3 linked regions of the Rhinolophus ferrumequinum genome follow. The protein of the gene in region 2 interacts with the protein of the main gene of each other region in a pairwise test. Links are inferred from orthologs where the notes say so. Each region holds a gene or a part of one and is shown on either strand. Other genes may lie near its edges.

What was found. The genes of interacting proteins can lie anywhere in the genome.
Region 1: the proteins of UBE2L6 (region 2) and ARIH2 interact in binary tests that used the Homo sapiens proteins (3 or more experiments, as listed by UniProt). The link is inferred for Rhinolophus ferrumequinum from reciprocal best matches to the Homo sapiens genes UBE2L6 and ARIH2.
Region 3: the proteins of UBE2L6 (region 2) and RNF144B interact in binary tests that used the Homo sapiens proteins (3 or more experiments, as listed by UniProt). The link is inferred for Rhinolophus ferrumequinum from reciprocal best matches to the Homo sapiens genes UBE2L6 and RNF144B.

The regions. Positions count from the first base shown.
Region 1 is NC_046300.1:7,302,130-7,309,330, forward strand, and holds the start of ARIH2 (E3 ubiquitin-protein ligase ARIH2), read right to left. Parts: upstream 3,020-7,201; 5' UTR 1,333-3,019; intron 1,213-1,332; exon of another isoform or gene 977-1,212; intron 1-976.
Region 2 is NC_046294.1:11,574,534-11,581,388, reverse strand, and holds the start of UBE2L6 (ubiquitin/ISG15-conjugating enzyme E2 L6), read right to left. Parts: upstream 3,017-6,855; 5' UTR 2,914-3,016; coding exon 2,887-2,913; intron 1-2,886. UniProt on the Homo sapiens protein: Catalyzes the covalent attachment of ubiquitin or ISG15 to other proteins. Functions in the E6/E6-AP-induced ubiquitination of p53/TP53. Promotes ubiquitination and subsequent proteasomal degradation of FLT3.
Region 3 is NC_046292.1:76,829,459-76,836,930, reverse strand, and holds the start of RNF144B (E3 ubiquitin-protein ligase RNF144B), read left to right. Parts: upstream 1-4,453; 5' UTR 4,454-4,603; intron 4,604-7,472.

The DNA.
Region 1 (7,201 bases), on a different chromosome or scaffold from region 2:
TCCACAAAGCTACCTCCAGAATCACAGCAAAAGAGCATGTTTTCACTTTCTTTGGACTTCTCCCCAGGATTTGGGTTTAGAGGCTGCCCAGACTCCTCACCAACTAAATATTCAAGAATCAAGGCTCCTCTCCTAAAGGGGAACCTGAAAAAAGAGAAGGCCATTCGTGCTTACTGGGTATTCTAGGTCCAGATTTAAATAAACACTTAATTTTCAATCTTGCCAAAGTTAAATATTCCTAGCGCTGACATAGCTCAAAGGGGACAGTATGTTATTGCCTTATTAGCAGAAATGATGACAATGCTTTTAATTTCTTAGATGTTAAATATTATCCCTACATCCCAGTCCGAAAGGGAGTAAAAGAAATTACTTTTCCCCACAAAGTTATGTGTTCAGAAGACCTGACACCCACCCTGGACTAAGGGAGCTAAGCTGAAGACGACTCAGTTTTCAAGTTGACAAGAATAAAACGGACTTTTTTGTGTGAATCTGACGGTGTTTACTTCATATATAGTATTTAGCACCGAATGGTCCTTTACTAAGCCGACATTTCCAAAGAGAACTACTTGGTACAAAAATATGAACCAGCAACTTGGTTTCAACACCCTACCCTAATGCCCGCACTGTCAAACAGGGTAGCCACTAGCTACAAGTGGTTAAGTTAAAACTTAAATACAATTTAAAGTTTGGTTTTTCAGTCACACTAGCCACAATGGTTACGTGTGGCAAAGTCATAGAATATGTCCACTGTGACAAAGTTCTACGGGACAGAGCAACAACCCGTACGGAGGTGAAGTCATCCGTGAAGGCGGCTGCCTCTCCGGCGGCTACCACCGCGGCGCAGCTCCTGGGCCACTGGTCCCTGCCGAGGCGCCGGGACATCCGCGAGGACACGGAACTCACGCGCTGGGGGACCCTTCAGAAGCGGGCGTTAACTAATCGCGCGGGCGGCCCTGGGAGAGCTCTCCATAATGACCTGAGCGGGGAGCCCCGGAGGTGGCGCGTTTCCCCGGCGCGCCCGGTGGGGAGGGCCCAGATAGGCCGGCGCCAGTCGGTCAGAGGCGACGGCCTCCGACCTCTCCGCGAGCTGAGAAGGCGGCGGAAGAAGGAATAACGGAGACGCCAGGCGCTCGGCCGCCCCGGCCGTAGCTTTCAGCCGTCCGTCCGCGGACGGCGGGGGGCGCTGAGACTGTACCGGCGACCGCGGACGCCGGGGCCTCGCAGGCGGCGACGAAGGCGGAGCCCCAGTCGGGCTAGGGAGGCGCACGGAAAGCCCACCCCCTCCCCCGACCCGCCGGGTAAACAAGGCCACGATTCGCGCTTCACACTTACCGGAAGGCGCGACCCCGCGGCCGCTGAGCCCGGACGGGCCAGACCGGGTTGGGCGGGGCCAGAGGGATCGGACACAAGCGCGGCGGCGGCGGCGGCGGCGGACGCGGCAAGCCGACGCCGGTCAAGGCCCGCGTCGCTTCCTCCAGCGGAGCCGTCTCCGCCGCTCCGGAAGTGCTCGGCGTGGTTGCGTCACTTCCGGGCCGGGGTCGACCCGCGGTCGCAGGGGTCGAGGCGTGCGCTGGGTAATAGTACCCCTCTGCTGGCGCTCTGTGGTATCCCGGCGCTGGATCCCGGGGTCTGACCAGGGCACGGCCGGCGCGGAGGGCTGCGAGAGGCAGCAGACGAGAGGGCTCGGCTTACTGGAGCGCAGTCACGGCATCGCTTCTGGCTTTCGCCTCCCAGCGCTGCCCGCCAGGATATTTTTAACCCGCGTTTTTCTGATGGACTCCTTACTTCACTGTTTGTAAACTCGAGTGTCGGGTACCGGGAAGACATCCTGACGTCGGTGGAGTTGGTAAAGGACTGTTGTTTCCCTTCGGCTCGCTGGACGAAGGAGAACAGGGCCTTCGGGTCAGCGCGCCGGGCCGGAATTCCGCCTACGCTCAGGTTGTGGCCTGTTGGCCCCCGAGCCGCAGGACCTCGCCGGGTTTTCACTCCCGTTTCCTCAACTGGATTCGCCGCCCAGTTCTTCGGCTTTCCAGTGACTGTACAAGGCTGACTCTTAATTGCCTTGCTGCCCAGTTTCTTCAAACAGTATAAGAAGTGCCAGTTATGACTTCTAGTACCTACTAGGACCTGTTGTCAAGTGTTATGGATGGAGCGAGCCACGGAGGCTCACTCAGGTTGCTGCTGCACGAGTGCAAACGCCAGTGTGAAGCTGGTGATGTTAGGCATTGTATTGGGATGTGCAAGTCCGTAGATAATCCAAACGATTTCCACCCGTACACCAGTCGTGTATGTACTGATATTCGAGACAAATGATGTGTAACGGGCTCTCTAATTTAGTGCTTGCTTCTTGTATGCACTCATGTATTTCTTACATACGGGTTTCAGCTTCCAGTTTTAACACAGAACATGGACCAAGATCAGATGCAGTCAAACACATACTGGAAAGCCCCAAATTAATTTGGAGTGAAAATTAATAGCAATGAGTAATATATTGTAGGATTATGAATTTGGTATTTAGCAACATAAAAGTCTATCATCCAGTGTACCTTAATACATTTGTTTTGAGAAAACATATCCCTTTAAATTATACTAGCAAAGGGTCCAAATTATATTTTCTGCAAATGAAATGTCAATTAGAAGCTCTCACTTTGGGTTGCTGGTAATAAATTCCAGTGAATAAGGGGAACAATCAGTCTTTCTGTAGCATTATTGCACTTGCTAAATAGAGAATGAGGTCACAAGCATACTGGTGCATGTACAATATATTGGAATCCTCTTTATTTGTTCATGTGTCTTTCCCCTGGTGAAGGTGAGTTTCTTAAGGGCACAGATCCAACCTTGTTTTCAGTATTACTCCATTAAATAAACATTTATTGGGTTGATGATAATATTTTTAACTAGTGGCAATCTCTCCCCAGGAAGTAAATTTAAAAATTAAGCCAAAACATTTAAGGATACACATAAAAATTTGTGCGCATTTATGTGCTTTGGAATGATGATTCTAACAGGAAAAAGTTTGCAGCATCCCAAGCGTCCAAAAGTAAGGGTTTGTTAAATTATGGTAAAATATACAATAAAGAAAGCCATCAACAATCATGCTATACAAAGGCCCCTCTTGACAAGGAAAGGTACTTATGATACATTCTTCAGTGATAAGACTAGGATGTGAAACAATGTGCTATTCCATTTTCAAAATATATATGTGTGTAAAATATATCTAAACTCTCATGGTTTCTGTGGGACAGGAATCTGGACAGTTTACAGGAATCTGGGGGAATGGTTTATTTCAGCTCCTCAGTGTCTGGGGCCTCAGCTAGAAGATTCAAACTCTGAGAGCTAAAATTACAGGAATAGTTATTTACTCGTGCATCTGGTAGTGGCCTTGCTGGGACTGTCAGTCAGAACACGTATACACAACCTCTCCATGTGACCTTGTTTTTCTGGAAATATGGTGGCTGGGTTCCAAGGATAAGTGCCTTAGAACCAAGTGGAAGCCATATCTCCTTTTATGACTTAGCCTTTGAAGTCACACAGCATTATTTCTACCACATCTTATTGGTCCAAGCAAAGGTCCTCTCAGGTTCAAGGAGAGGAAATGAAACCCTACCCCTGATGGAGGAATACCAACACGATATCACACTGTAAGAAGAACATATGGAATGGGATACATGTTGGTGTGGCCATCTTTGGAAAATGTAATCTGTCACGTAGCATATGTTACATATATATCATACATATGTCTTTCATCTTTGCCTTTATTGATTTTAATTACACGATAATATATTGATACATTAAAGTTGTGAAAAATTTATACAACAGTGTTGATAGCAACATGTGAATATTCCCATTAACTCACTCCAACTCTCTACCCTATCCAGGATTGCTGCCATTTTCCAGAGTTTGGTGCACATCTTTCCAGGACCCTTTTCTGTGCATCTACATACATATCTGTATTTATACACATATACACATATATTTATACAAAGTTCTAAAAAATTTAACAGGCTGTTATAAATATCATCCTGCTTTCTTCATTTAGTAGAAGGTCCTATTATTATTCCCAATTTACAAATTAGCAAACTAAGACACAGGAAGGTGTGGTAATTGCTCTAAAGTTAGGAAGTGGCCAAGCTAAGCTTCTAACCCTGGCCGTCTGGCTCCTGAGCCTACCACATCTTCAATATTTCCTAGTGTGATTATACTGTCATCTTACCACGCTCCTTTTGCAGGTCATCTGTTTCTGATTTTTCACTCAGGTGAAATGACAACTGGTGCTGCAATGAACACCCTTGGATGTACTACTGTTTGCATAGATGTGAAAATGGTTCGGAATTTTTGGAAAATGAAATGGAATTAGTGAGTAAACTTCTATGCTCAGTTTACATTGTGATAGATACAGCCAAATCACCTTTGAAAAATGCCTTTGATTCTTTGAGCCCAGCTATAGGCCAGGTACCATGTTGTTAGATTTAATGGAGAGGGCAGGAGACCATGGTCCCTGCAGTCAAAGAGCTTTGGCCTAGTAGCGGATTCAGAAATTAGAGGAATATTTAAGTAAGTATGAAATTGCTGTGAGGAGTACTGCACAGGAGAGTCGGTGGGCTCCATCTTCAGCTTCTGCTCCATCTACCCTCACTCTCTAATGACCTTATCCAAGCTCTTTGCCTAATTAAGTATGTACCTCCAATACACTGATGACTTCTAGGCTTTTATTTCTAGGCCTACCTAATCCCCTGAACTCCACACTCAATACATTCAACTGTCCATTCAACACCCCTACTGGGATGTCATGTTAGCACTCAGATTTAACATGTCCCAAACAAAACTCAATTTTATCTCCAAACTTGGCATTTCCCCGCACCCCCCGCCCAGTGTTTCTGAGCTCAGTGATGTCATTATCTCTCACTATTTACTCAGACCAAAAATTCACCAGTCTCCCATGACTCTTCTTTCCCTTTCAAATTCCACATTCAATCCATAAGCAATTCCTACGTGCCATACCTCCACAATATGTCCTGATTAGGCACTTCCCACCACCTGGTGCTCCAGAGCAAGCCATCACAATATGTCCCTGGATGTGAGCAGGTCGCTTAACTAAGGTAGTTTCCGTGCATCTACCCACCCTTGCTCTACTAAATCTGTTCTCTCCGTTGTTTAAAGAGATCTTTTTAAAGCATAAAACATGTCATTTCCTTGTTCAAAACCCTCCAAAGCTCTCTCTCATAGGCTTTGGCCTTAGAGGCCTACAAAAGGTAGGGTCTGGAGCCAGATAGCCAGGGTGAGAATCCCAGTTTGGCAACTTCCTAGCAGAGTGACCTTGCGCAAGGAAACTTACCTCTCTATGACTTAGATTTCTCATTTGTGAAATGGGGATAATAGCACCTTTCACTGAGTAAAAAAGCGGAATTATATTTACAATAGCTTTTTTTTAATGAAAAAGGTTTTGTGTAAATGTGTGTTTGTGTGTGTACCTATTAGATATAAATGCATATGTAGATGCATAGAAAGGGTCCTGGAAGGACATGTACAAAATGCTTATATTTTATATTGTTGTTTTTTAGGTTGAGCTCTTAAATCCATCCAGAATTTGTGTTTGGTAGGATGTGTAGAGAGTCAGTTGTCCCAACACCGTTTATTGAATAGATCATTCTTTATCCACTATTTAGAAAAGCGCCTTTATGATGATCTAAGTTCCCGTGTATATATGGATCTGTTATCTGGTTCCTTTTTCCTGGATATCACTTACTTTCAGGTGTACTGAGTTCAAGATCTCTTTGGGCAGCTAGAGAGGCAGGATTGGAGCCCATGAGAGGCACAGAAATTGGAGAGATTTCAGCCCAGACGTGGAATTTGAGCTAAGAAAGAAGGAAAGAGAAGAAAGGAAGGATAGACATTGGGAAAATTAGCCCCTTTTTCATGTTTGATTCCCAGGGTCTAGGAACAAGATTTCTCATCTGGAGTCCAAGGACAGCTTCAAGTTCCCATGAAATTGAAAGCAAACCTGGAGGTACATGTGCATATGTACATTTTTCTGGGGAGAGGGTGCCAGGGATTTTCCTCCCCACAAATGGCTAAGAACCACTGGTTGGACGATGTCTAGCATATGGTAGCAACTCAGATACACCTCTTGTATCAACATGTTACAGAGTGGAGAGAGAAAAGACACCTGTGCTAAAGAGGAAAATATGTGAAAAGGGGCAGTTAAGTAGCAGATCTGTATGGTAAATCAGGAGAAGCTCAGTTTGCTCAGAGATGAAGATATAGTCTAGGGGAAAACAAAGTTGAAGAAGTAAACTAGCATGAAACTATGAAAAGCTCCGATTGCCCCTGAGCTATTTGTAGTTTATTCTGATGCAATAAAGAACTGAGGAGCTTTTTTGGCCAGGGAATGACATAGATTAAATTTCAGGTAAGTTTTCTAGCGGTGTGTAAGGCTAACCACATCAGGAAGCAGGAAGACCATTTGTATAGTGGATTATTGATTACGTTTTACTGGTGGGCTTGAGTTGAGTCCACATTGAGGTCTGTCATGGAGGTGGGTAGGTTTACTGGATTTTTACCAGGAGGGCTGTTCTATCTATATCAAATACCATCTCTTCCTGAAATTGCTCTGAGTGCAAACTGACTCTAAATTAGCTCCTCCTCTGCAGCCAGAGTGTTACAAAATATAAATAAAAGAAACAAGGTCCCATTACCAAATTGTGACTCTTGGGCCTTCTGTCCAATAAAACTCCTGAGGTTAATCTAGCGATGAGTAGTTTTACAAATCAGAAGTGCTCAGTAAATGTGTGCCCTGGACACTAACACAGTACTGCCCTCTCATGGTGAAAATTCCCCATAATCTGTGGGAAACAAAGACAACAGTATTCACTGGGGTAGGAAGTCAGGAGGAAATGTCAGGCTTCAACCAGAACTGACAACCTGCTTTGCACCTGAGCTCCCTCCTAACAGCTCCTTCTTGTTCCAATGTCTGAGATTCTTCTCCCCAGCCAGACTGAAGCCCTTTGAGGACAGGGACCCAGATAAACAGTTTAACAACAATCATCTTATACCTGTGTTTCAGGTATTATGCAACCTTACTTTACAACTTGTGGGCTATCTCTTTGCCAAACTCGAACACTTCTATCTTGGAAATTCTTAACAATGGGTGCTTCTCAAACTCAGTCACAGAGTTTTAAAGACTTGTGTCAGGACTCAATTC
Region 2 (6,855 bases):
AGGAGAAGGCAACAAGAAGGCTTCGTGCAGGGTGACAATGAGCTGGGCCACGCGGAATAAAATAAAGCCCACCATGCAGAAATGGGGAGAGGAACCAAGACAAAGGGCCCGGTCAGAGTAAATGTGCATAAGTGTGTACTATATAGGCAAGGGTAATAGTTATTACAGGAAAAGGGTCCCATGGTCAAGTACATTGGGAAACATTAAGCTAAACAGATTTCTTTACTGTAGGACTTCCCAAAGTCTTTATTTAATATGCTATTGTGTATCATGAATCTCCAAGATGTGAGCCCACAGCATGCGGTACTTCCCAAACTTATTTGACTAAGGAGCCCTTCCAGAGTCCATCCTGTGGAACGACAGGCCTCTTTTTATTGGGGGGGAGGGCAATTACAAGATTCAAGATTAAAGGACATTCAAGGGCAGGTCTTATCCTCTGAAACACCAAATAATTGTAAACCAGTGGTTCTCTACTGGGGGCAATTTTACCCCCACAGGGGACACTTGGCACTATCTAGAACCATTTTGGTTGTCACAAATGAGAAAGTGCTACTAGCATCTAGTGGGTAGAGGCCAGGGATACTCATAAACATCCTACAACAATTTATCTGGCCCAAATGTCAATGGTGATGAGGTTGAGGAACACTGGTATAAATAAAAGGCAAAGACGAAGCTTCCCACAGCCCTTCCATGGTTGGGGAGGGGTCCTTTAACACTGTGGACCACCTAAACTTTCTCTACGGCCCCATATATAAACACACCCTGTTCTCCATTGCTAGCTTCTAGCACATACTCCATCTCTGTTCATACCAACAAACTGCTTCTTGCGTTTTCTGCCCAGAGTATATTCTATGATCCTCATTTATCTTTTTTTTTTCCCAATTACAGGTGACATTCAATAGTATGTTAGTTTCGGGGCGGCCGAGTTGGCTCAGTTGGTTACAGCACGAGCTCTGAACAACAGGGTTGCCGGTTCAATTCCCACATAGGCCAGTGAGCTGCGCCCTCCACAACTAGATTGAAGACAATGAGCTGCCGCTGAGCTTCCAGAGGGGCAGCCGGATGGCTCAGTTGGTTAGAGCGTGAGCTCTCAACAAGGTTGCCAGTTCAATTCACATATGGGATGGTGGGCTGTGCCCCCTGCAACTGAGATTGAAAACGGCAACTGGATTTGGAGCTGAGCTGCGCCCTCCACAACTACATTGAAGGACGACGACTTGGAGCTGATGGGCCCTGGAGAAACACACTGTCCCCCAGTATTCCCCAATAAAATTAAAAAAAAAATACTATGTTTAGTTTCAGGTGTACAGCATAGAGGTTAGACATTACCCTCATTTATCTTTACCCCAAACTAGAAGCATCTGCTACTTCAAGTCCTAGTTCCAATATCATCTGCTCTCTTTGGCAAGGCCAAGGTTGAATGAAGAAGCTGTGGGATGAACACTTCCTGATTTTACTGTAACTGGGAACACTTGGACTTTATCAGTTATAGATGTGTTCTTTCCAACTTTTCCCCAAGCTAAGGATGTTGAAACCCCAGTGAGCACACACAGTTCTTTCCTGAGGCCTGTGAGGAAATCACCTGACTCAGAGGAACAGAAAATGAAAGTAGAGAGGCCACTAACCTGGGCTCAAATCCCAGCTCCCTCACTCCCTACTGGCTGACCATGACATCTAAGTCATTCTCTCTGAGCCTCAACTTCCTCATCCGTAAAATGGGGGTATATGACTTATGTCACAGGGTTGCTGTGAGAGTAAGATGAAATAAGTAATGTAAATGGCTTGTCACTTAATTGTGCCAGTGGGATAAATACCAAATACTGGCTCCTAGCTCTTTCCAGTTTGGCTGGCAAGATTCTCTGCCCCGTTTTGCTGCCAGCCTCCAGTTCTGGGTTGCGCCTGCGCTGGGTGCCCCAGTATGAGACCATTTTCTTCTCAGAGGCTGAGGACAGCAGGCACTCCCTTTTACCCCCCTCACTCTGTCCCCTGCACCCTGCACGTTGGAGGGGCACTTTTCAGGGACTCAAAGTCCGGGGGATATCTGACCCACTTCACTAAGATTGCTCTTCCTTCCCCATCTATCTCCATCTGCCCGGTATACCCCAGCCCTGCAAACACCCTGGGTTTTTCCACCTCCTGGGGGAAATCCTCCCCTCCCTATCCTTCCAAACCTTCCCTTCAAATTGTTTCCCTATTTGGAAAGAAAGCTCAGCGAGGGCAGGATTTTTGCTAATCTCTGCCTAGAATAGGAGCCTGCACACAGTAGGCATTCAACACTTGTAGAATGAGTGAATGCACACACCTACTCCAGGACACCTTGCTGGTCTGCCTTGGCAGCTTTTCCTCCCTGGAAAACCCCGGGTACCTAGCTCCTGACTCCTACTCAACATCCAGACTTCTCAGGATTCTAGATTCCAAATGTAGGTACCAAATTAAAGAGTGGGTCCTCGGCCATTCCAAGGCAAGGACCTTGTCCTGGTTATCTCTGTTCATAACCCACCCACCTCCGCCCCCCAACCACCCCCAGTAGAGAGCGTGGCTCCTGAATCCCTTGGTCACCTGAGATGCAAGCAATTGTAATCACAAGTTTCTGGCAGGAGAAAAGAAACTGAAACCAGTTTGCGGGAACAGGCTCAATCCCCATCCGCAGCGCAGTTCCGGGAGCCAACAACACCCCCGCCGGACGTGCCCTCGCCCCTCAAAACTCCAGCTCTGGCCCCTCCGGAAGACCCACTCCTCCTCGGGGAGGGGGCGGGGATGACAGGGCTCCGCCAGCCTCGCAACCCGGACAAACAAATGCTCAAGGGGAGTCGGGGAGAGAGAGGAGGGAGGAGGAGGTGGGAAGAGCGAGGGGAGCCGGGAGAAAGGGGTCGTCCACACAGTTACCTTCGCCACCCGCTTGCTCGCCGTCATCTCGGCGCGGAGCGTGGGACCCAGCGAGTCCAGCGAGACTGTCCTCCGGCTTGGTGGCGCCCCGCCCCCGAGACGCCACCTCCGGGGGCCCCGCCCGCGCGCCGCCCACTGGTGCGCACGCCGGGCGGTACGGAGCTGATCCCCGCCTCCTTGACTGACACTGGGAGCCGCCGAGGGCTGGACCCTGCGGGCCCCGGCCCGGTCCGCGGCGCAGTGGGCTCGGGTCCCCGGATCTCGCGCTTTTTGTCGGAGGACCCCGAAGGCGTAGGAGCAGGCGACGTGGCCGGATCCCTGTATCCCACTGGGGGGCGCTGTGCACCAGTATGTGAGCGCTCGGAGGCGCGGGGCTGGGGTCTACCCATCCGGGTTCTGGTTCCAGCGCGGATTCTGGTTCACGCTCCACCGCCGGACGCCGTGCAGGGAGGCCCCATTCTCCCCGCCGCCCCAAACACACAGTCTCCCTAAGTCAATACAGGATGTTGGCTATGCAAACGCAGCTCCCGACTGTTCGGCGGACTCCACCATCAGTCCGCGGCCCAAAGACACACACACACACACACACACACACAGATAGACACACCCGCCAGCGAATTCCCGGAGGCTCCCTCCCCCCCCACACACACACAGACGCCAGCGAATTCCCGGAGCCCCCTCGACGAGTTATTTCCCCTCTCTGGGCCCAATGCCCCATCTCTAAAAATGGGTAGGGACGACGCAAACTATACGCCCTCCAAGCACTCCTCCCCTGGCAGCTTGAGATCCTTTGTGAGGTGCAGCCTTCGGTGGCCCAAATACAAGGACGTTTCTTTCCCCCAGGTGGTTTGCTTGGTGAAGAGCACCGCAAGGAGGCGCTTTTGGACCCATTCGCTCTTGCTTTAGGGTTTGGGTTCTTAGGTTTAATAGTTAGTCAAGTGTCTACTATGTGAGGATTGGAAAAACAGTTGGGGGGGCATTAGCATGCATGTACTATACTGAGTGTCAGGCACTGACTTTAGGGAACAGCACGATGAGAAAGTGGGCTCCTTGTCCTTGAGGATGAATGCATTTTTCATGCAAAGTGGTTAAGCACAGGATATATATGGGGAACCATCTGATGCTGTGGGAGCCTGGAGGAGGGTCACCTGATGCAGCCTCAGGGGGGGGCAAAGGTATCCTGGGAGAGAAAAAATCCAAGTGAATTGCAAAGCATAGTGAGTTAGCTAGAGTAAAAACGTGGGATGAGGGTGTTCCCAGATGAGGGAACAGCGCAAGCAAAGGTGCAATGTATGGAAACTGAAAGCAGTTCCATAATGTGGAACAAAGTCTGTCCAGCACCTTCCTTTCTCGTACAGAAGTCCTGCATCCCCAGAGTAAATTCAAAGTCGTGGATTTAGCTCAGCCTCCCCATCCTGGGATGGATCCTAACCACCCACACAGCTGGAAGGCCCATGTGCATGGCCCTTCATATCCTTACACAGTACAGACCTTTGTGTGTAAGAATGAGTCCCAAGGAGACCTGGACTCTTGTTAGTTCTACATTTGCACCCCAGTGCCACATGGCCTTGGGTGGGCTGTGGAACCTCCCACCTGCTTCCCAGGGCCACTGCCAGGCTCAGTTCACAGAAGTGGAGGAACTTTGAAAATTGTAATTCCCAGATATAAATAATCAGGATTCAGTCCCAGCTCTACTATTATTGGCTGAGTAACTTGGGCAAATTACTTAACCAGTCGGTGCCTCCATCTCCTCATCTGTAAAGTGGAGCTAATAATAGTGAATGTGAGGAGTAATGAATTGATATTTGGACAATAAGTGATAGTCATAATAATGTAATATTTGCCTCTGTATGCCTGTAGCATGTCTGGAAGGATATGAGAGACTGTGATGGTCTTTGGGGAGGGTAACTAGGTGACTGGGTATGGGATGGGGAGGAACACTTTTCACTAAAATCCCATTTCCTTTAAATTTTTTTTTTTTTAGATTTTATTGGGGAAGGGGAACAGGACTTTATTGGGGAACAGTGTGTATATCCAGTTCTTTTTCCAAGTCAAGTTGTCCTTTCAGTCTTAGTTGTAGAGGGCGCAGCTCAGCTCCAGGTCCAGCTGCTGTTGTTAGTTGCAGGGGGCACAGCCCACCATCCCTTGTGGGAGTCGAGGAGTCGAACTGGCAACCTTGTGGTTGAGAGCCCACTGGCCGATGTGGGAATCGAACCAGCAGCCTTCGGCATTAGGAGCACTGGAGCTCCAACTGCCTGAGCCACCGGGCCAGCCCCTCCTTTCAAATTTTTGAAACATGTAAATAAACTACCTCTTCAAAAATCAATAACATTTAAATTTTACAATATTCTCTCTTTAAAACTGAAAGGTTTTTGCATAAAAATTTGTATTCCTGGATTCTCTAAAAACAGGAGACTTGGCAATGACCCCTCACGGCAATGGTTGGCTGGAGCCTAGTCAGGGTTGCTCCTTTAGAGCAGGAATGCAGGTCCCAGTTTACCACGGTCCTCACCACAGTGTTTTTCCTGGCCTGCCCAGCCTCATCTGCTTTTTTAGCTGCCTAACCCTGTAAGGATCCCCGGCTCTGGAGTCTCTTTGCACTTACTAACTTGCTATCTCTCAAACCCTCTCTTTTCCTTTCTTGCCCAGGGTCGGGCTTTTTCATGCCCCATGATGGCTGTGGCCTTTGCAAACAGGGAAGTGTACCTGGCTGGAAGGTGTGACAGTGCTTTGTTCCTGGTCAGGACCCTTCCAGGGACTTCACAGGGAAAAATTGTCATCTTCTACACTTGGATGAGGCAGGACTTTCCTTTTTGACAGCTCTTGTTGTTGCCAGAGGTCACAGAGACCATCTGAAAAAGAGTTGGGAAAAAAATACTTTTCAGACACCATAGACAATATGGCACCTCAGCTGTGATTTATAGACTCCAGTAGATACCGTGGGTGCCAAAAAAATGTATACAAGTGGAGACTTTGGTCAACGTTGCTCAAGCAGTAGTTCGCTGTAATCAGAAGTGCCTGCACGCTGATGGTAACCACTTTGAGCACTTCTTGTAATTGCAGAAGTCAAACGTGACTTGTATTCATTGTTTGTTATGGTATATATTATTACAATTTTAATACAGTTTTCCTTTCCTAAAATGTGTATGCATTTTTTTGGCACCTTCTGTACATTTATGTTTGCATGTTAGAGACTAACCTGGAGGATACTTAAGAACCTGATAAAGTAGTTATCGGTTTGGGAGGGAAAAAATGTTGCCTTACATACAGTACACCTTTTTCAGATTGTCTGCCTTTCATCATCTTTGAGTTATTGTACAACTCCCTAAATTGTAGTAACTTATAGCATGCAAAATAATTCTTATAGACCTGCAAATTCTTTCTGTCCAACAGAAGTTTAATTGACTTTCTTTTCCCCACCCCATGGAAAAACCAGTTTTGTTTTATTTACATGTTTATTTCAATATTCTTGATCTACAAATGTGTCTGTTTTCAGATTCTCTTTAATTCTGACATCTGCCTGGTTCCCTTGTTGATTAATGAGTAGAATGAAGTCTTGAACATGTGTCCATTTTATATCTGTACGAGAGGCATGATTTTGCCTTTTTCTGAAAATTATCTTTAATGAGTTGTAGACTCATCTGGAAGGATGCTTAAGAAACTAATGAGTGGTTTATCCATTCTGTGTGTCCTAGGATGGGGTAGGAAGGAGACCTCCTTTCCACTGTTTTGTACTTTTAAAATTCTCTACCATGTGAATAACTATCCATTCAAAACTATAAATGCATACAATATGTTTTTCAAAGAAAATTAAAAGAGGGAAACAAAAATAGGAAGCATAACCTAGAGATAAATAACATGGAATTCAGGGTCAATCAGACCTGGATTAAAGCTCTGACATTTTCTAAGTGATTTGGGGCAAGTTACTTACCTCTCTAAGCTTTAGTTTACCTATAAAATGGAGATAAT
Region 3 (7,472 bases), on a different chromosome or scaffold from region 2:
CAGAGATCCACCCAGGCCCTTGCTTCTTTCCTTACACATGATTTCTTTGAATGATCTCATCCACACCCATGGGATCAGTGACCTCCAGATTAATAAAGTCCAAATCAATGTATTTAGCAACTTACTTTCTCCTTGAGTATCATACTCTTATCAACTGCCTATTAGATTTCTTCACTCAATAATCACATCAATATCTGCAATTCAACATATTGAAAACTAAACCCATTCTCTCGAAAATCTCTCCTCTTTTTACTCCTTCATTTAATGGCTTTGTTGTCCACTTTGTTGCTCAAGTTTGAATATTTAAAGTCATCTCTGGCTTCTCTTTCTTCGCAACTCCCCACATCCAATCCCCTGGATTCCAAGCCTGTCTCTAAATGTCTCTCATCACATCTTTTCTTTCAGGCCACATCACCTCGCTCTATAACTGTTATAAAAGATTCATTACTGGTCTCTCCCTGAAGCCTTATCCTTACTGAAAAATTAGTTCACCAAACAAGGTAAAATTTTGCAAGTCTTACAGACTCGCTGGTGTGTTTGTGTGGTCAACACAGATTAGTCTTTTAAAACTCAAAACATCGTCTTCTCCATGAAGCATTCCTCGTATCTCTGAAGTTGAGACTCCTTCCCCTCCCCTGTGCACTGTGTTCCCTTAATACTTTGTTCATATCTTTATTACCGTACTTAGGCAGCAATTATATTGTAATTACTTATTTACATGTTTACTTTTATAGTAAACATCTGTTAAGTTGTCTGCCTAGAGTACTCTTTCTGAAGAGCTGCCTTCCTCCCAACCTCCTCACATACCCTTCCATCCTCCTCCCCAATCCTATGCTAGCCACCATCCATATAGTTACATGACGAACTCTCGTAGGCATGTTTTTACTTCATGACCCTGACACCCTGTTCTCCTTGACTGGGCAGCTGACCCAAGTAAGGCCACTTAGTCCCCTCCCTGGGAAACTGGAATTTAGATAGATTGAAGATGAAAGTGAATTAGGATAAGGGAAGAACAGAAATTCATGATTGTATTTAATTCCCAGTTCCAGATTGTTGAGGAAGCCTGTCTGCGTCCATGCCTCTGGCTTCCAGGTGACAGTTCTGTTACCTTTTAAGCAATTCCCTTCCCCCCTCCTTAAGTTATCTTGACTGCATTTCTGTTACTTGCAACCATAGAGTTCCTAAGTCCACTGACTGAATTCAAGTGTAAGGACCTTGCCTTGGTCATCTTTGTATATCCAGCACTTCCCATAGTAACATGGTAGACAGTATGACATAGATATAAAATGGGTAGTAGATACAAAAATATTTGTGAAATGAATGAGGAAAGAAAGGCAGAAAGAAAGAAAGACAGAAAGAAAGAAAAAGAGAGAGAGAGAGAAAGAAAAAGAGAAAGAAAAGTGAACAGTTTTAAAATAAAAAGAGAAGAGAAATAGAAATGAAAAAATACGAAGGAAAATTGAGGCGAATAGAATTGAAATGAGAGAGAGAGAAAGCCACAAATAACAACAACAAAAGAATCATGAAGAGCATGATCTAGGGGTAAAATGCCAGGCTGTCCTGCTCTAGCTCTGCTCTCCTAAGTTGAGCCAGCCCTTCCCCCTTGCTTTCACCTCTGCCCATCTGTCTCAGTCAGAAGGGAGGATCCAGCAGGGGAGCCCTGTCACCTCAGAGCACCCTTGCCCTGGCACTCATGCTTTCCATGAGATCTTCTGTTTACAGCCCACCATGGTTACAGCGAAATAATTCAGCTCCCAGTGGCAGCCATAGATGTCTAGAACTTAGTGAAGCTAGAGAGCGTGGCCTAGTAACTAGAAGGAGCACGAACTTTGAACCCACTTTTGAACAGATGGGTTCAAATTGAGGAAGGTCAGAAAATGATTAGATAGGCGGAGTGAAAGATGGTAGGAATAAAATAACTTTCCAAAGGAGAAGAAAGCTGGGGTAGGAGCATGCTGGTGTGCTGTTACACAGTAGGAAATTTAGAATATAAAAGTGATTTCTCTGTGTCAAATTTTTCTTTAATTTATTCCACTACTGTTATAAATCAACATTCTTTTTTGCCCTTGAACTGTATGAGATAGTTACTATATAAAAAAAAAAAATACTTCATTAAAAAAACCCAAACAAACCATTTTCTCTCTATCTCTAATTTGTACTTCTATTGTTTCTCAGTTGTTCACCACAATTGACTCTCCTCCCTCCACACCTCTCTTCAGGAAAAGTGTGTCTCTCTAGGGACTTGTCATGGGACTGAACTTAGATTCCACAAACAGGCGCATCTGTACGCTAGTATTCAGTGATCATCTGCCCCTCCCAGAGCTCTTCTCCCTGATTCCCTCTCATTCCTAACCCCATCGTCATTTGAGAAAGACAACCTCTGCAGCCAGTAGTCTTTCTCAAGCAAAAATCTGATCGAGCCATTACCTCGCCTACAACATTTCAATGCTACCCCGTTGTCTATGGGATACAGTGCGTTTTGAAAACGTGGCCTAGAAGGCTCTCCATGATCTTGCCTCTGCTTACCTCTGCAGCCTTGTTTCCTATTCTTCCTCGCAGCCACTCACACTGCCACCCATAAGAAGAAATCCAGCCATAAAGAACTTCTTTAAATTTTTTGAATTGCCCTGTTCTTTCTTACCTTTGGCTTTCCATGCTTTACCCCTACTGGAAAACTCTTTCTCCTCCTAGTCTCCTTTCCCTGGTCAAATGACTCTCACTCTTCATGTCTCAGCATAAAAGTCACTTCCTCTGGGCTTCATGTATACTGCTTTCTGTGTGTGCCGTCCTCCATCAGAGAATCTACTTTTAACAGCCTGTGTACTTGTCTGTCCCCCTATTCAGTTTGGTGAAGTTGGGGAAGTTGCCTTTCTTGTTAACTTTTTTATCCCTAGCACCCAGCAGTGTCTTGAACTAGCAAGCATTCAATAAGTATTGGCGGAAGGAATAAGAAATCTTTGTGCTAACCTTGCACTACCCCTCTTCCTATATCACCCAAGCTGGTCCTTTCAGTTGCAATAACTTGTTTGATGAGTTCATCATCTGATAACCACCTCCTGCCCAATATAGAAGCCTGACAATTCTAGTATGTATCCAATTTTTTCCAGTCCTCAGATTAGAAAATTATCTGATCAAGGTAATGGGTTAATGGATTAATATGGAGTCTCTCATAGGTATTTTGCATTATCAGGGCTCTGTAATAAACTGGTTGCTTCTCATTAGGGTTTCCAGGCGAGAATTCCCTCCCGTTCGCAGGAATTTTTTTCGCTTTCCCCGTTCCCGAATCCCGAGAAAAATTGGTCGGGAAATCAGGAAAATCGGCTCCTTGAACCCAAGTGGTTGGTAGTATTGGCCATCACTTTGTGGAAACGATTCATTGTGGAGAATAGAAAACAGTTTATATCTCGAGATTTGGGAAAGGGAAAGCGGAAAAAAATTCCTGAGAATGGGCGGGAATTCCCCACCTGGAAACCTTACTTCTCATGTTAGTTCCTAGCATCTTTGAAATTATAGCATGACCGATTATGAGTAATGCTATGCCGCCTCTATCCTACTCCACAAATATATAGTATAAGGATAGGTAAATGAATGAATGAATAAATGGACTGCCATTTAACTAATCCCTTCACAGTCCCACTGGGGATTATGTCACTCCAGCTCCTGAGTCTTAGTGATACAACGGTGTTTTCATTGATCCCTTCGAATCGTTTTTACCTTTTATGTTATTCAGTATGCTCTGCTCATTGCTAGTTCCCTCGCTGTTAAAACTCTGAGTACATCCACTTGTTCCTTTTCAGAACTTTGACTTTGGAATTGCGTCTCTTCTAAGTGAGAACAGAGGCTCTGGGCATGCTCAGTAACCAAAGCCAGGTGTAATTAACTGCTCTGGCCCAGACTGGGGAGCCCTGACAGGTGGCAGGCATTGACAGTGATGGCAAAATAGACTTGCCAAGACTTGTACAGCTGAACATATTTTCTCCGAGGCCAATCTAACATTCTGGCAACCTAAGTTTAAATAGTGGGGACGTCAGGTTTTTACAAACAATAAAACGGAAGGAGTTATTTTGGAAAAATTAAAATGACTGGCAGGAGATTCTCAGAGCACAATCTACGTGTTAAGTGATGTGGTTAAGACAGATGAGGACAGAGACGGTGTGTGTGTGTGAATGGAAGCCGTGCCTGTCTTGAACCTCACTGGGCAGATCAAAGATATTTTAAAGGATTTTCTGAGATCGCCCAGAATTTCAAGGATTCCAGTCGCTGCCTCCTTGCTAAGAGAGCGCGTTTCTGGGGGAGGTGTGTGCGTGCACGCGCCGGGGGAGGGCAGGCTCGGAGAGGGGCCACCGCTCTCCGGAATAAACAGCAGGGGGAGAAGGGGAGCGCGGCAAAACGCTGCCGGAGGGGAGAGGAGGCAGGCTGCAGGGGGAGGGCGGGAGAAGCGGGCCGAGACGCGCTCAGGGGGTTGGAAGCAATTCACCCGAATGTCTCGGAGACCCGGGACGGCTGTCGGGCAGAGCTGCCAGCGGACACCCAGCGGCACGCGCCCTCGCTGGGACCCTGCGCTCCCGGGTCCCCCGCTCCGCACTCCGACCTCGCGCGCAAGGTAAGGAGGGGTGCGGCGTGCCGCCCTCCCTGGAGCGCGGCCAGGCTAGCGTACCAGGTGCCGTTCGGCCTCCTCAGGTTGTCACCTCCTTCTTCCTCCCTCGCCCCCTCCCGGGTTCTCCTCGGCACCCGGAAGCCCTGGGCGATCGGTCGGCAGGGACTCGGACCCTCGGTCATCCCGGCTTCTACTTCGCGGTGCGGGGGACCCGTCTCCTTCCCAACCTCACTCCCCCCACCCCGCCCCGGGCAGCTCCCCGACACCGACGCCCTAGGGGAGCATCTCACCAGGTGCGTGCGGCGCAAACACCCGCGGTTCCCCTCCAGTATGCCACGATTTCCAGGCTGAAATATCACAGATCCTCTCCTTCCAAAATATACCTGCCCACCCCCCGGCCTTCTGTAATCATTCTAACTTTAGGGGGATATTCGCCCTTGGTCAAGGTAGGTATATCGTCTTATCTTTTGTATCTGCACCAAACAATAGGTTGAGGGTCTTCGGGGTTTAATTTTCCTGAAAATCAAATACTGTGATAAGTTTAGAAGGTTTTCTGGGTGACTGCGGTGCTAGAACTTTGTAACAGCCTAAAGCAATAAGGTCCTAGTCCGGAGCTGAGATCCTGATTCAGAAATCTGTGTATATATTTAAAAAGCACTCCAGGTGATTGCGATACGTTCTCCCCGCATCAGCACTTGGAAGTATCTGTAAGGCCCGCGTAGGAGGGAGAGGAGGTATTTGGAAGTCTCATCTGGAAGATGGGTGTGTCAGGAGAGAATAAAAACAGAGTTATAAGCTGGTTCCCTTTTAGTTGATAAATTTGGTGGGATACCATTGGTTCAGAGATGGCAATTTTGGAAAGGGAGAGTCATTGGAAACAGCTAGAGGGTGGAGAGAGGAAAATACAGTAGTTCTAAGAACCCTTGTTAAAGAGTTCGATTTTAAACATCAATTTTTAAAATGTAAGAATTCCTTGACAAGTACTTTGGCGATGAGAAAGGGCTGAGGCCTACACTCATGGCAATCAGAAAATCTTGCTTCACTGTATTTGCACCGACTGACTTTCTGTCAATGACCACTAGCATTTTTGCAGGCTGGTTACTTTAAATCTAGAGACAGAAATGGACTATTATCTCTAGGAACCAGAAGGAGGAATTATCATTTAAATTTAGATCCTGTTTACATTCCTAATTATTTGAACCAAGCTCTTTTACCCTGAATTGGTTAAGAGTGTCTAAATTATATTGTATTTGAATTTACACATATAACTGAATATTTCTCCGTCTTACACTTTGTGACAGATGTACATCTGCTGCTTTTCATATATATCTGTATATGTACCTGAACCATTTTAAGTACCTAACAAACTCTCAGAGTATAACTGCCAGGCAAAATAAAGATTTCTATTTGTCTTTTGGAAAATTGAGGTGGAGGACTAACTTTTTAAAATACCATGAAGTAGGTATACTATTAAATCATACAACTTTCAACAAAATGAGATGCTTGTTATGAAATAGGGATGGTATTTGGTACCTGCTTTCAAGGATATTTAGGACAAGCAAGAGACCGTCTGTAAAGCATTTTGAACTTTAAGAGAAGAGTCATTGTCTAGGTATTGAGCCAGTGTGATTGTTTTCCTGGCAAACTTTTTCTTCTTTCTAAAATTAACTTTCCCTTAGGAAAAGATAGTGCAGAGGCACACGATTCAGCAGCTAACTAGGTCCAGAAAATACTGTTTGAATTTTAAAAGTGACCTTAATTCATCCCTACAGATCTGGTGTTTGCAGCCTATGTCACAAAATATGCAGAAATATTCCTTGTTTGCTGACCTTTTCAAAGCATTGGCTTAATGAGGGGAGTTATGGACAGGGTACAAATTATGTTCTGAATTTTGTTGGCTTAGGCAAAATTATTATCTTTTTTTTCCTAAGGTTTTTTGTGTATATGTGTGTACACTGGGTCCGGGACTTACATAATTATGTATATATATGTAACACATGTTTTTAATAGGAGCAAAACCCACGATATTTTTCTTTGTGGCAGAACACTGTAAGCATTAGGTTTTGATTACTTTTTCATGGAAATTTTAATATGACAGAACTAAAAACTTCAAGGAAATAATTCCATAAAGATCTATTTGGAACTGAAGGCCTTTTTAATAAAACATGTTTGAAGCCCTTAGTCTGTGTGCTAAGCATACTTATAGCAGTCCTTGGTGAACCAGTAAAGGTGGTAGATCCAATTCTGGCAGCTTCAGACAGTGGATGATTAGACCCTGCCATTCTTCTCCAGACCTTTAATTTGGTCTGTAACTTGATGCTTCACTGACCCCACACTCTCCCTGCCACTCTAGCTCACAGAGGAATTGCTGGCACTCTGGACTGAATTTTTTCCCTCCCATCAATTAGAACAAGTTTGCGTTGGTTGCAGAATGCAGTTACATTTTTAGCTCAGTATTCTAGGAAATACCTTGGGCCACGAAGAGAGTAGTCTTAGTGTAGCCTAGATCACAAATTGCCTTATTTAATTGTGCTGTTAATTTCCCAGTGATTCAACTATGCAGAAATAATAGTCCTAGAGTACTAAAATTGGAAAGCACTTTAGAAGTCATCTAGATTCTGATCCTTTTTACCGGTGGATACTGGAGCACTTATAGCCATAATCCACACTTTGAGAATATCCATTAAATTATATATTCTTTCCAGTTCTTGTAGTAATGAAGACTTTACTCATTTTAAATGAATATATGTATATGAGTTCAATAATGTAGGAATGGCAGCGAAGTATGTCACACATCTCAGCCAGATTTCTAATGAAACTCAGTGTGATGCTAAAAGGGATGTGGGTCACTTACAAAGGTGCCGAACTATCCTAA